3 linked regions of the Sus scrofa genome follow. The protein of the gene in region 1 interacts with the protein of each later gene in a biochemical or structural test. Links are inferred from orthologs where the notes say so. Each region holds a gene or a part of one and is shown in the gene's direction. Other genes may lie near its edges.

Evidence for each region.
Region 2: the proteins of TJP2 (region 1) and OCLN form a complex in vitro, tested with the Homo sapiens proteins (3 studies listed by BioGRID). The link is inferred for Sus scrofa from reciprocal best matches to the Homo sapiens genes TJP2 and OCLN.
Region 3: the proteins of TJP2 (region 1) and CGN form a complex in vitro, tested with the Homo sapiens proteins (2 studies listed by BioGRID and IntAct, with this or other methods). The link is inferred for Sus scrofa from reciprocal best matches to the Homo sapiens genes TJP2 and CGN.

What each region holds. Positions count from the first base shown.
Region 1 is NC_010443.5:222,523,709-222,527,454, forward strand, and holds the start of TJP2 (tight junction protein ZO-2), read left to right. Parts: upstream 1-1,043; 5' UTR 1,044-1,217; coding exon 1,218-1,298; intron 1,299-3,746. UniProt on the Homo sapiens protein: Plays a role in tight junctions and adherens junctions. Acts as a positive regulator of RANKL-induced osteoclast differentiation, potentially via mediating downstream transcriptional activity.
Region 2 is NC_010458.4:47,599,124-47,602,869, forward strand, and holds the start of OCLN (occludin), read left to right. Parts: upstream 1-1,051; 5' UTR 1,052-1,210; intron 1,211-1,367; exon of another isoform or gene 1,368-1,817; intron 1,818-2,243; exon of another isoform or gene 2,244-2,388; intron 2,389-3,746. UniProt on the Homo sapiens protein: May play a role in the formation and regulation of the tight junction (TJ) paracellular permeability barrier.
Region 3 is NC_010446.5:97,720,366-97,724,011, reverse strand, and holds part of CGN (cingulin), read left to right. Parts: intron 1-223; 5' UTR 224-237; coding exon 238-1,098; intron 1,099-2,255; coding exon 2,256-2,356; intron 2,357-2,805; coding exon 2,806-2,875; intron 2,876-2,976; coding exon 2,977-3,072; intron 3,073-3,646. UniProt on the Homo sapiens protein: Probably plays a role in the formation and regulation of the tight junction (TJ) paracellular permeability barrier.

The sequences.
Region 1 (3,746 bases):
TGGGCCGAGTTTTGCTTTTCAATTTAGAAGAGCAGGATGGCCACATTTTTTTTTTCTTACAGTGTGGTTTCCTTAGAGTCCAAACCCAAAGTTTTATTTTTTTACATCAGTGCACCTGTCTTGATTTTCCAAATAACTTACATTACCTTAAAACAAGGAAAAAAAAATTTTGGGGCTGTGCCCTTGGCATGGGATAGGGACAGAGCCACAGCAATGACAATGCCAGATCCTTAACTTGCTGTGCCACTCTGAGAACTCCCCAAATAAGATTTTATTTATTGTGCACATTTCTTCGTATAGAGGACTCTAAAACAAATAAATGTACTGAGTTGAATTTGATGAATCCTGCCTGATAAGTATTTGTAACCTATTTTTCAAAAAAAAGCCTTTTAAAAGCTAGTGATGAGAGAGGAGTTTCCATCTCTTTATTAGAGTTGTTGGAAATGTGCCAAAGAGATAACCTGGCGTATATTTCCCTCAAAAATCATGTTTTATTCTTTAACATGAACATCTTATACCCTCGGAATTCGGGGAATTGTTGAGCTGAAAAACCTGGGGTACAGTGCCCTGTGTTGCCAGCCTCTAGGCAAGACAGCAAAAACTTCGGGGTTTCCCGGGTTCTTCCTTTCGGAAGAGAACCGAGGAGGGGGCGCTGCAAAAGTCTCCAAAAAGCATTCTTACAGGATCTCTAATGGGAGAACCTGCTGACTAACTCGCCACCCCACACTTACCGCTGCAAGCAAACTTGCAGCGCTTCCCTCGCACGCGCGGGGCGGGAGCGGGACCTGAGGCCCTGTGCATGCCGCGGAGCGAACCATCCGGCCGGCCGGAGAGGGGGGAGGTTCGGACGTGGGGGGCGCGGTAAGCTGGGGCCTCGGTGTCTGCCTGTTGCCTCCACCCTCTTCCGTCCCTGGCGGGGAGTCGCGCGAGCCCGAACCCTCGGTGGGGACTTGAGGGGCGCGGCGCTGGCAAGCCTTCCCCCGGGCCGCGCGGGGGTGGTAGCGGCCCTTTTCAGAGTTTCCCGGGCCGGCGGCCGGCGCAGAGGCGCTGCCTGCGGCCGGGGGCGGGCGGACGCCGCAGCCGCCGCGGCCGCGGGAGGAGGGACAAAGGGGTGGGTCCCCGTGGGGCCGTCACCCAGGCAAAACGCGGCTGACGGACTGAGAACTGACCTGCCGCCCGGAGTATCAGGAGGAGCGGGGCTCGGGACTGGTGCGTCCATGAGAGACCCGCGCCCGAAAATGCCGGTGCGAGGAGATCGCGGGTTTCCACCCAGGCGGGAGATGTCAAGTTGGCTCCATGTAAGTGCCGTCTGGCGTCCCGCTCGGTTGGGAGAAGGGTCGCGAGGAGAGAGCTTAGGAGCGCGTGGTGGGCTTCCCGGATGCGCTGTAGGTGGCTGGGATTCTTCCATCCGGAGGTGGAGTTGAGGGCAGGGAGTAGGTTTCGCCGGCAGAGGTGCTGGGTCAGGGCCTCCAGGATTCCTGAATCTTTTTCTCTGTTCTATGAAGTCACTTGGTTTTCAGTCGCGAGTAGGGGAAACTCTCTTGAACTCTGTTTTGGATCCCTGCTACCTTTGAGGCATCTCGTTGAGCTTGTTATGTCGCCTGTTGTTTGCTTTTGAGTTTTCCTTCTTAGTTTCAAACCAGTTATTCTGTAATTGATGCAAAGTTAGAGCATGTGTGCATGAGACGAACTGACGACTCTTTGGAGATGGGAATCCTCATTTTCCCTTTCAATCTCTTTTAGTCGGCAGTATAAGTAAAAGTTATTTGTGGCAGGGAATGGAGATAGGGTTTTGGAGGACCCCCCAAAAAGGGAGTGATGAATACTTTGTATTCTGGTATTATCTTACCTGTCACCAGTTCCTTTTCTTTTATGTTTTCATTTGTCAAGTTTCTGCTTTACACAGTAGTTTAAGTTATAAATAATCAGGGTTTTGCCTACAGGGTTTTAACATTCTTGAAACGTGGATGAACTTGGGAGTGAATACTCCAGGGCTTAGTAATGGAATACAACCCTCCCACCTCTATTTTAGCTTCAATTCCGAGGCAGTGCTGCTTCCTTGGCAGCTGTCTGGCCTGAGTAATGGTTGTGGTTTTCCAGCAGTTCCCAGTGGAGTCTCATCCCGTGGTAGAAACTGCCCTCCCTTCTTCAGCTAGGGGAATCCCATCACAGAAGGAAAGCGGCCCTTTTCCTTCAGATCTTTAGATGGTCTGTGCTGGAGGTGCTGAAGGTCATGCTGGGAGAACAGGGTCATTTTTGTCAGGATTCTTCCTGGGAAAGACAGTCTACATGCATACGTGGGAAGCAGATGGTTTTCATTTTAATTGAGGAGTTAGTAGTAGTGATTGCTTTTGCGCCAAAGTGCCAATTATTATCCTGCCTAAAACAATGAAATTGGTTGTTTAATACATTTTTATGAGCACCTTCATCTCAGTGTGGAAAATAGAAATGTTAAGAGTGTGCTTCTACCAACCACACTGTCTTGTTGGGGAAACCTGTAAATGATGAAGACTGATAGTTCCAGTTAGAAATAGGGACAGGATGCTGGAGTTGCTTCTCTCTGGGGAGCTGAGAGAAAGGAGTGTTTTACTAAGGCAGTGGTGGCTTTTGAGTTGTATCTTGAGCTTTTTCAGAGCTACTGCCAAAGATTGATGAAGGGGGATCCCCCCCCCCAGAATGGCTGCTGCAACTTTTTTAGGACCGCGAAGTTAATAAATTAATGAGCACCCACCTGTGCCCGGCCACTGTTGGGGAGGTGGGGGTGTGAGGTGAGTAAGACTCAACTTCAAGAGTCTGTTTGATCTGAAAATTTTAGATGTTTTTTGGACTGCAGGCTCTCTCTGCTGTGGCTAAAGGAGGGAGTGTGCTGCACAGATGCACACTGTGCAGTACAAAAATACAACAAAGTGTGGGGTCTTCCTGTGCACACTCCCTTCAGGGATTCTTTTTTTTTTTTTGTCTTTTTGCCATTTCTAGGGCCGCTCCAGCGGCATATGGAGGTTCCCAGGCTAGGGGTCCAATCGGAGATGTAGCTGCCAGCCTACGCCTGAGCCACAGAAACACAGGAGCCAAGCCGTGTCTGCGACCTACACCACAGCTCATGGCAACGCCGGATTGTTAACCCACTGAGCAAGGGCAGGGATCGAACCCACAACCTCATGGTACCTAGTCAGATTCGTTAACCACTGCGCTGTGACGGGAACTCCCCTTCAGGGATTCTTATTAGGAAGAAAGTTCAGGAGTTCCCGTCCTGGACCAGTGGAAATGAATCCGACTAGGAACCATGAGGTTGCAGGTTCAATCCCTGGCCTCGCTCAGTGGGTTAAAGATCCGGAGTTGCTGTGAGCTGTGGTGTAGGTTGCAGATGCAGCACAGATCTGGAGTTGCTTTGGCTGTGTAGGCCGGCAGCTACAGCTCTGATTAGACCCCTACCTAGCCTGGGAACCTCTAGACGCCATGGGTGTGGCCCTAAAAAGACAAAAAAAAAAAAAAAAGTTCACTATTTGAACAGATACCTCACAGGGTAAGCCAATATAGAAGATGAGGTTAACAACACACCTCACAGAGTTGAATGAGGATTGAGTGAAATGACGTAGGGAGCTTGGCCTGTAGTGGGTGCTAAGTAAACAGTAGCTGGTACAGTCATCCCACGGTGTCCTGGGGCAGGGGAGGTTCCAAGATTCCTCTAGGATACCAGAAACCTAGGATACTTAAGTTCTTTATCTAAAATGGCATAGTGGCAGTTC
Region 2 (3,746 bases), on another chromosome or scaffold:
CAATTAGATTGATTACTCATTAAGGCTGTCATCATTTTTAAATACCTTATATTTATATAATGCTTTTATTTCCTTAAGTATTGAGCTGTGTCTTAAGATCTAATGTAGGAGAGAGTCACATCCCTAACCACTTAATTAGAGGAAGAGAAGTGGGTGGGATTGGACTGAAATTTATTAGCAATGCTGACATTCCAGACTGAAACACAAAGTGAGCAGGATTTACAGGCTAATTTCTAGCCTTCAATGCAGACACTTAAGTAGCAAGAACTAAAACTGCCCCATTCAGTTGTGCAATTAAAAAAAAAAGAAATACAACATGCATATAGATCAGTGTATACAGCGTTAAGTGCAGACTATGAGTTTTCCTAAATTGAACACTCCTTTGGAAAGAGCCTAGGGATCGAGAGCACACAGAACTAGGGCAATTTTTTTTTTTCCCTTTAAGCCAAAGAGGCTATTTATATAGTTTAGATCCCCCCAAGAACAGCCTCTCAGTCACACCATAGTTAAATGTGGGAGGGAAGGGCAGAGGACCCTGAACCGGTAGTAACGTATATTGGAGTATGCACTTAATTTTGACGGCAAGTTCACTGACACCATTATCTACAGTACTTCACCTGCACAGAACCATTCTGAGTAATGATCTTTTTCTGGATCCAGACATTCAGAAACCATTCTCAAAACCCCGCATGACTTTCAAAAATTTCTTTGCAACAAAACTTTAACCACATTTTCGGAGCAGGAAAGTTTTGTGTGAGATCGTGCCTTTTTTGTCAAAGCGCTGAGCACCCCTGGACACTTTTCAGACCTTACTTGCCAAACACTCTGCAGTTCTACCCGAAGCCCACCGGTCTCCCAGCGCTTCCCAGATGGTCCAGGACCCCTCCCCAACCTCTCAATGTCCGAGACCCCACCCCAAGCAGCCCTTCGGTGCTCTGTCCCCTGTGCTTCAGGCCAAAAGGCCGCACTGTTCCTTTAACGCCGGGCGCAGCAAGGGTGTGCGAAGGGCTGGTTACTCCCGCCTCCTTCTCCACCGCTCCCTTCCCCCTCCCATCTGAGTTTCAGGTGGATGGATCACGGTGGGAGGAGGCCACCACACCACTCCTCCTCGCCCGTGTCCACCACCCCCTTTCTCCTTCCTCTGGTTGGGGCGGCGGGACTCCGGGGAGAGCTAGACAGAGCGCCGCAGAGCCCTCGCGGGGTGCAGCAGGTGGATCTCGGGGCGGCGGGGGCGGGGGGGTAACTGGCACACGGGCCTGGCTTTGGTGCGCATGCCCGTGGGCCGGACGGCGGGGTGGGTGGGGAGAGGAGGAGGAGGGGAGAGGAGGAGAGGGGAGGAGGGTGGAGAGGAGGAGGGCTGGGTCCCCAGCTGAGCCGCGGGGCGAGCTGGCCGTCTGCACTGCGTCAGGTGCACCCTCCAGGTGAGCGCGCTCCTTGGGTCTCGCCTTTCCAGGTGGGTCGGGCCAGGCTGCGGTGAGAAGGTGAGAGTTGGGCGCCGCGCCCAGGGCGCACGAGGGGCCCTTCTGTCTGGTAGGAGCGGCGCGGGGGGAGGAAGCCCGCGCTGGTTTCGGTGGCGGTTTCGTCCCTGGGCTGGGACTCGCGGGAAGCGAAAAGGCGCGGGTCGTCCGAGGGAGCCGCGCGGGGCGAACTTGAGAGGCTGCCTCCCGAGCGGGGGTGCGCTTGGAGACGCCCATCAACTTCTGCCGCGGAAACGCTTGAAGCCACCGGTGTCTAGGCGGTGGGGGCAACCTTTCGGTTACATGGGGGCTGGCGGGAAGTTAAGTGAACAGCGAGGATCCTGCGCCCAGCTCTCCGAGGTACAGTTGGGAGGGAGGGTCCTCGCGAAGAGGGTCCTCGGGGAAAGTGGGCTCTGATCCTGAGCACTGGAGCGAGGGGGGTCGGCTCGCTGGCCGGGGCGTGGCGGTTAGGACCCCCGGGGGACCTCCTCGACGCCATCCCGCCCCACCCTTTTGGGTACCCCAGGGGGAGAAGGGGTGGCCAGATTTAATCCGTGCAATATTCCTGGAGACGTGGGGTGGGCCGATGGGCTGTTTTCAAGCCCCTGGGGGGCAGTTGTGTGGTTCCGCGTGGATTTAAGCTGGGGGGCGGGGACTTAATTTCGAGTGTAGCTGTACTTCGAGGGAAGCCGCACACGCCTGGGCTATTTCACCCGTGACCTAAAGGCCGCCGCCAGGTGGGCGGACCTGCCTCGGGGCCGTCCGTGCTCGACGAGCGCTCACGGCCCGGGGCGCTCTGGAAGTGGCGGGGGTGCATGACCTCCGGGACCTGGCCCCGGCCGGCCGGCCGCGCGCTCCTGCGACCCGGGGAAGGGCCGGCCCGGCGCGCAGCGGACATGTTGCCTGTGTCGGACCAAGTGTGTGAGGCCAGGTGGGTGGAGGGGCCAGGCGGGCGGAGGGGCCAAAATGGCCTCTGCACCTTGCGGCTGCAGCAGCGGCTCCAAGACCCTCCGGTCCCAGGTGAAGCGACTGAGACGGAGGAGAAGCCGGGGCATCCCTGGGCCGGGTAGCCTGCCCACCCGGGAGGTGACCCGGGGCAGGCAGGAGGCAGATTTCCAGGTTACTGTGTGGCCCTCACGCACTACAGGTATATTATTGCGATCCCTGGGAAAGAGAATCCCTTCCTCTTAAGGCCCTTAGGCTTTTTGATAGAAAACTAGTTCTTTCCAGACAGTGGTAGAGTTCTCAACTTTGCATTCCCTAGTGTAACAGTGTTTCCTTTGCACTGTATGTATTGAATATTTTGTCTTCCTGGTGTTTTAAAATAAACACCTTATTTGTCTTAGTTTTGGCTGTGTGTGGCATGCGGAAGTTCCTGGACCAGGGCTCCAACCTGTACCAGAGCCTCAGCAGTGGCAAAGCGAGATCCTTAACTTCTAGGCCACCAGGGAAGTCCCCTAAAATAGACATTTTAAAAGTTGGCTCTGCAGTAATTGATATTTTCTCAGAAAAAGCAACAGCACTGGTTTTATCTAGTTTTGCATTTATTTCATTATTAGGTGCCTCCTTGTTAAATGATGGAGATTTACACACCAACAGGCAATTTAGGGAAATGATGAGTGTTGCCCTTTTGTACTTTATATCATTTAATCATCCCAGCATCTCTAAAAGCTAGATCTTATTAGAACTCCAGTTGTGAGTGAACACCAGGTAGGGGAAACATGTTGCAAACGGGCTGGCTTGAAAACTTCTTCAGCTAGTTAGGGAAGGTATATTAGAAAAGCAGCAGTCCTTATAAGCCAGCAGGAGAACCAGATTTGGGGAGTTGTTCTGGAATTCTCTACCTTTGACTATACCCTGTGGCCTCATATAAGTGTTCCCCATCTTGCTTGATCTAAAGGTAAAAATCTTTACTCTTTTCTTCTGAGGATAATATTGAAACTATTGTCCTTTCAAAATGAGGAGTTCCCGTCGTGGCTCAGTGGTTAATCTGAGTAGGAACCATGAGGTTGCAGGTTTGATCCCTGGCCTTGCTCAGTGGGTTAAGGATCCAGCGGTCCCGTGAGCTGTGGTGTAGATTGCAGATGCGGCTCGGATCCCGAGTTGCTGTGGCTCTGATTAGACCTCTAGCCTGGGAACCTCCATATGCTGCGGGTTTAGCCCTAGAAAATATAAAAAAAAAAAGAGAGAGAGATTACTTTCAGCCACATAAATTAACTGATATAATGTCTTTCACCTTCCCAGGAACCTCCTAGAGGGAAGTTTTCTTCAGGTGCATTTCAAGGCTTA
Region 3 (3,646 bases), on another chromosome or scaffold:
TGTAAACCCTCAGTTGGGGACCACCTGCTGAATCTGATTCTCTGGGGGTAGGGTCCAGCAGTCAGTTTTAACAGGTGATTCTGCTGCTCAAACAAAGGATGAAAACTACTACTTTGGGAGAAGGAATTGGTAGGGCAGTCAGCCTCACAAAAGCTGAGCAAGTAGAGGTTTCTGGGTTTCTATTTCTAGTCTCTCAGCTTAAACTCTCTTCTTCATCTTCTAGGACCCCTCCGATCCATGGAGCAGGTGTCCAGCATGGCTGAGCCCCGGGGCCCTGTAGACCATGGAGTCCAGATTCGCTTCATCACAGAGCCAGTGGATGATGCAGAGATGGGCACCCTCCGTCGTGGTGGGCGACGCCCAGCTAAGGATGCAAGAGCCAATACCTATGGGGTCGCCGTGCGCGTGCAGGGCATCGCTGGGCAGCCCTTTGTGGTGCTCAACAGTGGGGAGAAAGGTGGTGACTCCTTTGGGGTCCAGATCAAGGGGGCCAACAGCCGAGGGCCCCCGGGAGCTCTGAGCTCTGACTCGGAACTCACTGAGAGCCCCTACTCGCAGGCCAAGGAGTTTCCTGCCACCTCGCGGGGCAGCACGTCTGATGAGGAGCCCGGGGCCCACTGGAATGGAAAGCTGCTCCGCTCCCAGTCCCAGGCCTCGCTAGCAGGCCCTGCCGCTATGGGTCCGAGCAACAGGAGCGCCAGCCTGCTGGAGCTTGCCCCCCAGGGAGCTTCCCCTGGGAGCACCATTGACACTGCCCCCCTGTCTTCAGTGGACTCACTCATCAACAAGTTTGACGGCCACCATGGGGGCCAGATCCGGGGCCGGACTGGCCGCCGCATGCGGACGTTGCCCCCTGAACAACGCAAGCGGAGCCAGAGCCTGGACAACCGGCTCCCACGGGACACCCTTGAGGAACGGGAGCGCCGGTCCCCCGACCACTGGACCCCTAGCACAAAGCGTGACCAGCACATGGGCAGCTCGAAACAGTCAGCCCAGAACCTTCTTGGTGGCTTTAGCCGCTCTCGTCAAACCCAGGACTGGGTCCTTCAGAGTTTTGAGGAGCCACGGGGGAGAGCCCAGGACCCTGGGATGCTACAGGTCAGACCCCACCCCTTCGTGGCTTCCAACCCCCCAGCCCCTTCTCATCAGCCCCGACCCACCAGCCCTGGGACCCCATGTTGATTCAAATGACTCAAGGCAGAAAGTTGCTACTTTTTATCCATCTGTTTAGTAGATGGTGTTCACAAGTACAGTATACTTCTGTGGGCAAAATTCTAAAGGAAATGGAAGTAATTATGAAATCATTTACGAGCATGGAGAGCTGCTTGTCATCGCCCGACTGTTAACTACGCCTCAGTCACTGGCTTTTGCTAAGTTTATAGCATACGTGAGGCAGGCCTGGAGAATGTGAGCTGTTCCCTCATGCTCTTGCCAAGACTCCTACCTTCGGGGAGTTCTCTTATGCGCAGTGGGTTAAGGGTCCAGCATTGGCCTTAAGCTGCAGTGCCTGGGGTCACTCTTGTGGCACAGGTTTGAGCCCTGGCCCAGGAACTTTCACATGCTGTGGGCGTGGCCCCCCACCCCCACCCCAAAACCCTCCCACGTAGGAATGCAAGTGAGTAGGGGAGTGACTTTACTCTGAGACAAAGTTAAGCCCATTCTAAAAGTAGATCATTTACAGATTCTAGTACATTAACTGCCATTAGTGACAAATAGCCTATGACACAGCTCACAGCTGGTTGAGATCTGTTTGTTGAGCAAAATCTGGTTTGCAGCAATAGTGAGAGGTGTATCCTGCTTGACTCCTTCCTGGCCTTTGCTCAGGCCTCAGAGGTGTTGCCTCTTTTTTTTTTTTTTTTTTTTTTGTCTTTTCTAGGGCCACACCCATGGCATATGGAGGTTCCCAGGCTAGGGGTCGAATTGGAGCTGCAGCCACCAGCCTACACCAGAGCCACAGCAACACAGGATCTGAGCCACGTCTGTGACCTACACCACAGCTCACAGCAACGCCGGATCGTTAACCCACTGAGCAAGGCCAGGGACCGAACCCGCAACCTCATCGTTCCTAGTCGGATTCGTTAACCACTGAGCCACGATGGGAACTCCAGTGTTGCCTCTTTACCTGACTTCGGCCTATTTGTCATGCTCGAAGGACCTTGTTTCCCACTTGCTACTTCTCTTCCATCTGAGCCCCACAATGCTTCTGGTTTATCTTCCTAATCTTTCTATTTCTTTGGTTTTACTTTTTTTTGTAGTTCAAATCAACTCCAGACCTTCTCAGAGACCAGCAGGAGGCAGCCCCACCAGGCAGTGTGGACCACGTGAAGGCCACCATCTATGGCATCCTGAGAGAAGGGTGAGTGGGGACCCTCCCAACAGCAGAGTCACACACCTCCCTTCTTTCCCTTCTAGCTTTGTTCCCCATCTTCCCTGCTCTCTCTCTCTCTCTTTTTTTTTTTTTTTTTTTTTTGCCTTTTGTCCTTTTAGGGTTGCACTTGTGGCATGTGAAGGTTCCCAGGCTAGGGGTTCAATTGGAACTGTAGCTGCCAAGCCTACGCCAGAGCCACAGCAATGCCAGATCCGAGCTGTGTCTGCAACCTAGACCACAGCTCACGGCAGTGCTGGATCCTTAACCCACTGAGTGAGGCCAGGGATCGAACACGCCACCCCACGGTTCCTAGTCGGATTCGTTTCTGCTGTGCCACGATGGGAACTCCGCATCTTCCCTGCTCTTAACCCTTCCTTCTCTCATCTCTGCTTCCTCTTTCCTCCTCTAATCTTTGCATCTGTGCTTTTATTCTCCAGAAGCTCAGAAAGTGAAACCTCAGTGAGGAGGAAGGTCAGTTTGGTGCTGGAGCAGATGCAGCCTCTGATGGTGAGTGGCCTTCTTATGGTGGGAGCAGGGGTCAGGGTTAGGGCCTTTGGGCCTTGGGATCAGGATGTGGACTCACTTCCTCCCCCCTGCATCTCTGGCAGGTGGCTTCTCCTGGTTCTACTAAGGCCTTGGCCGGGCAGAGCGAACTCACCCAAAAAGTGGAGGAGCTACAGAAAAAGCTGGATGAAGAGGTGAAGGTGAGGAAAGATAAGAGGTGCAGGAGGCATGAAGGACCACAGGGGGAAAGAACCTTGGCCTGGACTGGCTCTTCCAAGCAATGCAACGAGTCCTTGTTTGTCTTGTGCAACAAGAATGGGTGCTAGTCCTAGCAAGGACTTCTGTGGTTCTCTGGAGCTTAGAGAGGAAGAGCACATTCATCAGGGGTCCAACTACTTTTCCTTCCATTTCCTTTGAAAGTTCTTGTCCTGGCTCTGCCACTTACTGGCTCTATAAATCTTGAGCAGAATTACTTTACTGCAATTCTTTTCATCATAACAATGATGGCAATAATAGTACCTGTCATTTATTGAGTTTAAGTTTCTAGTGGGTACTATCCCAAATAGTATGTGATAATCATAGTGACCCTGTAAAGTAGGCATCTTGGACTCTTGTATGATGAGAAATTTGAAGATCAGAGAGGTTAAGTGAATTGTTCAAGGTGGTAAGTCGCAGCGGAGGAATTTTAAAATTTGGATCAGATTTATGCTCAAACCTATGTACTTCTCTTTTTTAACGCTGCTTCGACCTCTCACAGTGTGCCTTGTATGTAGT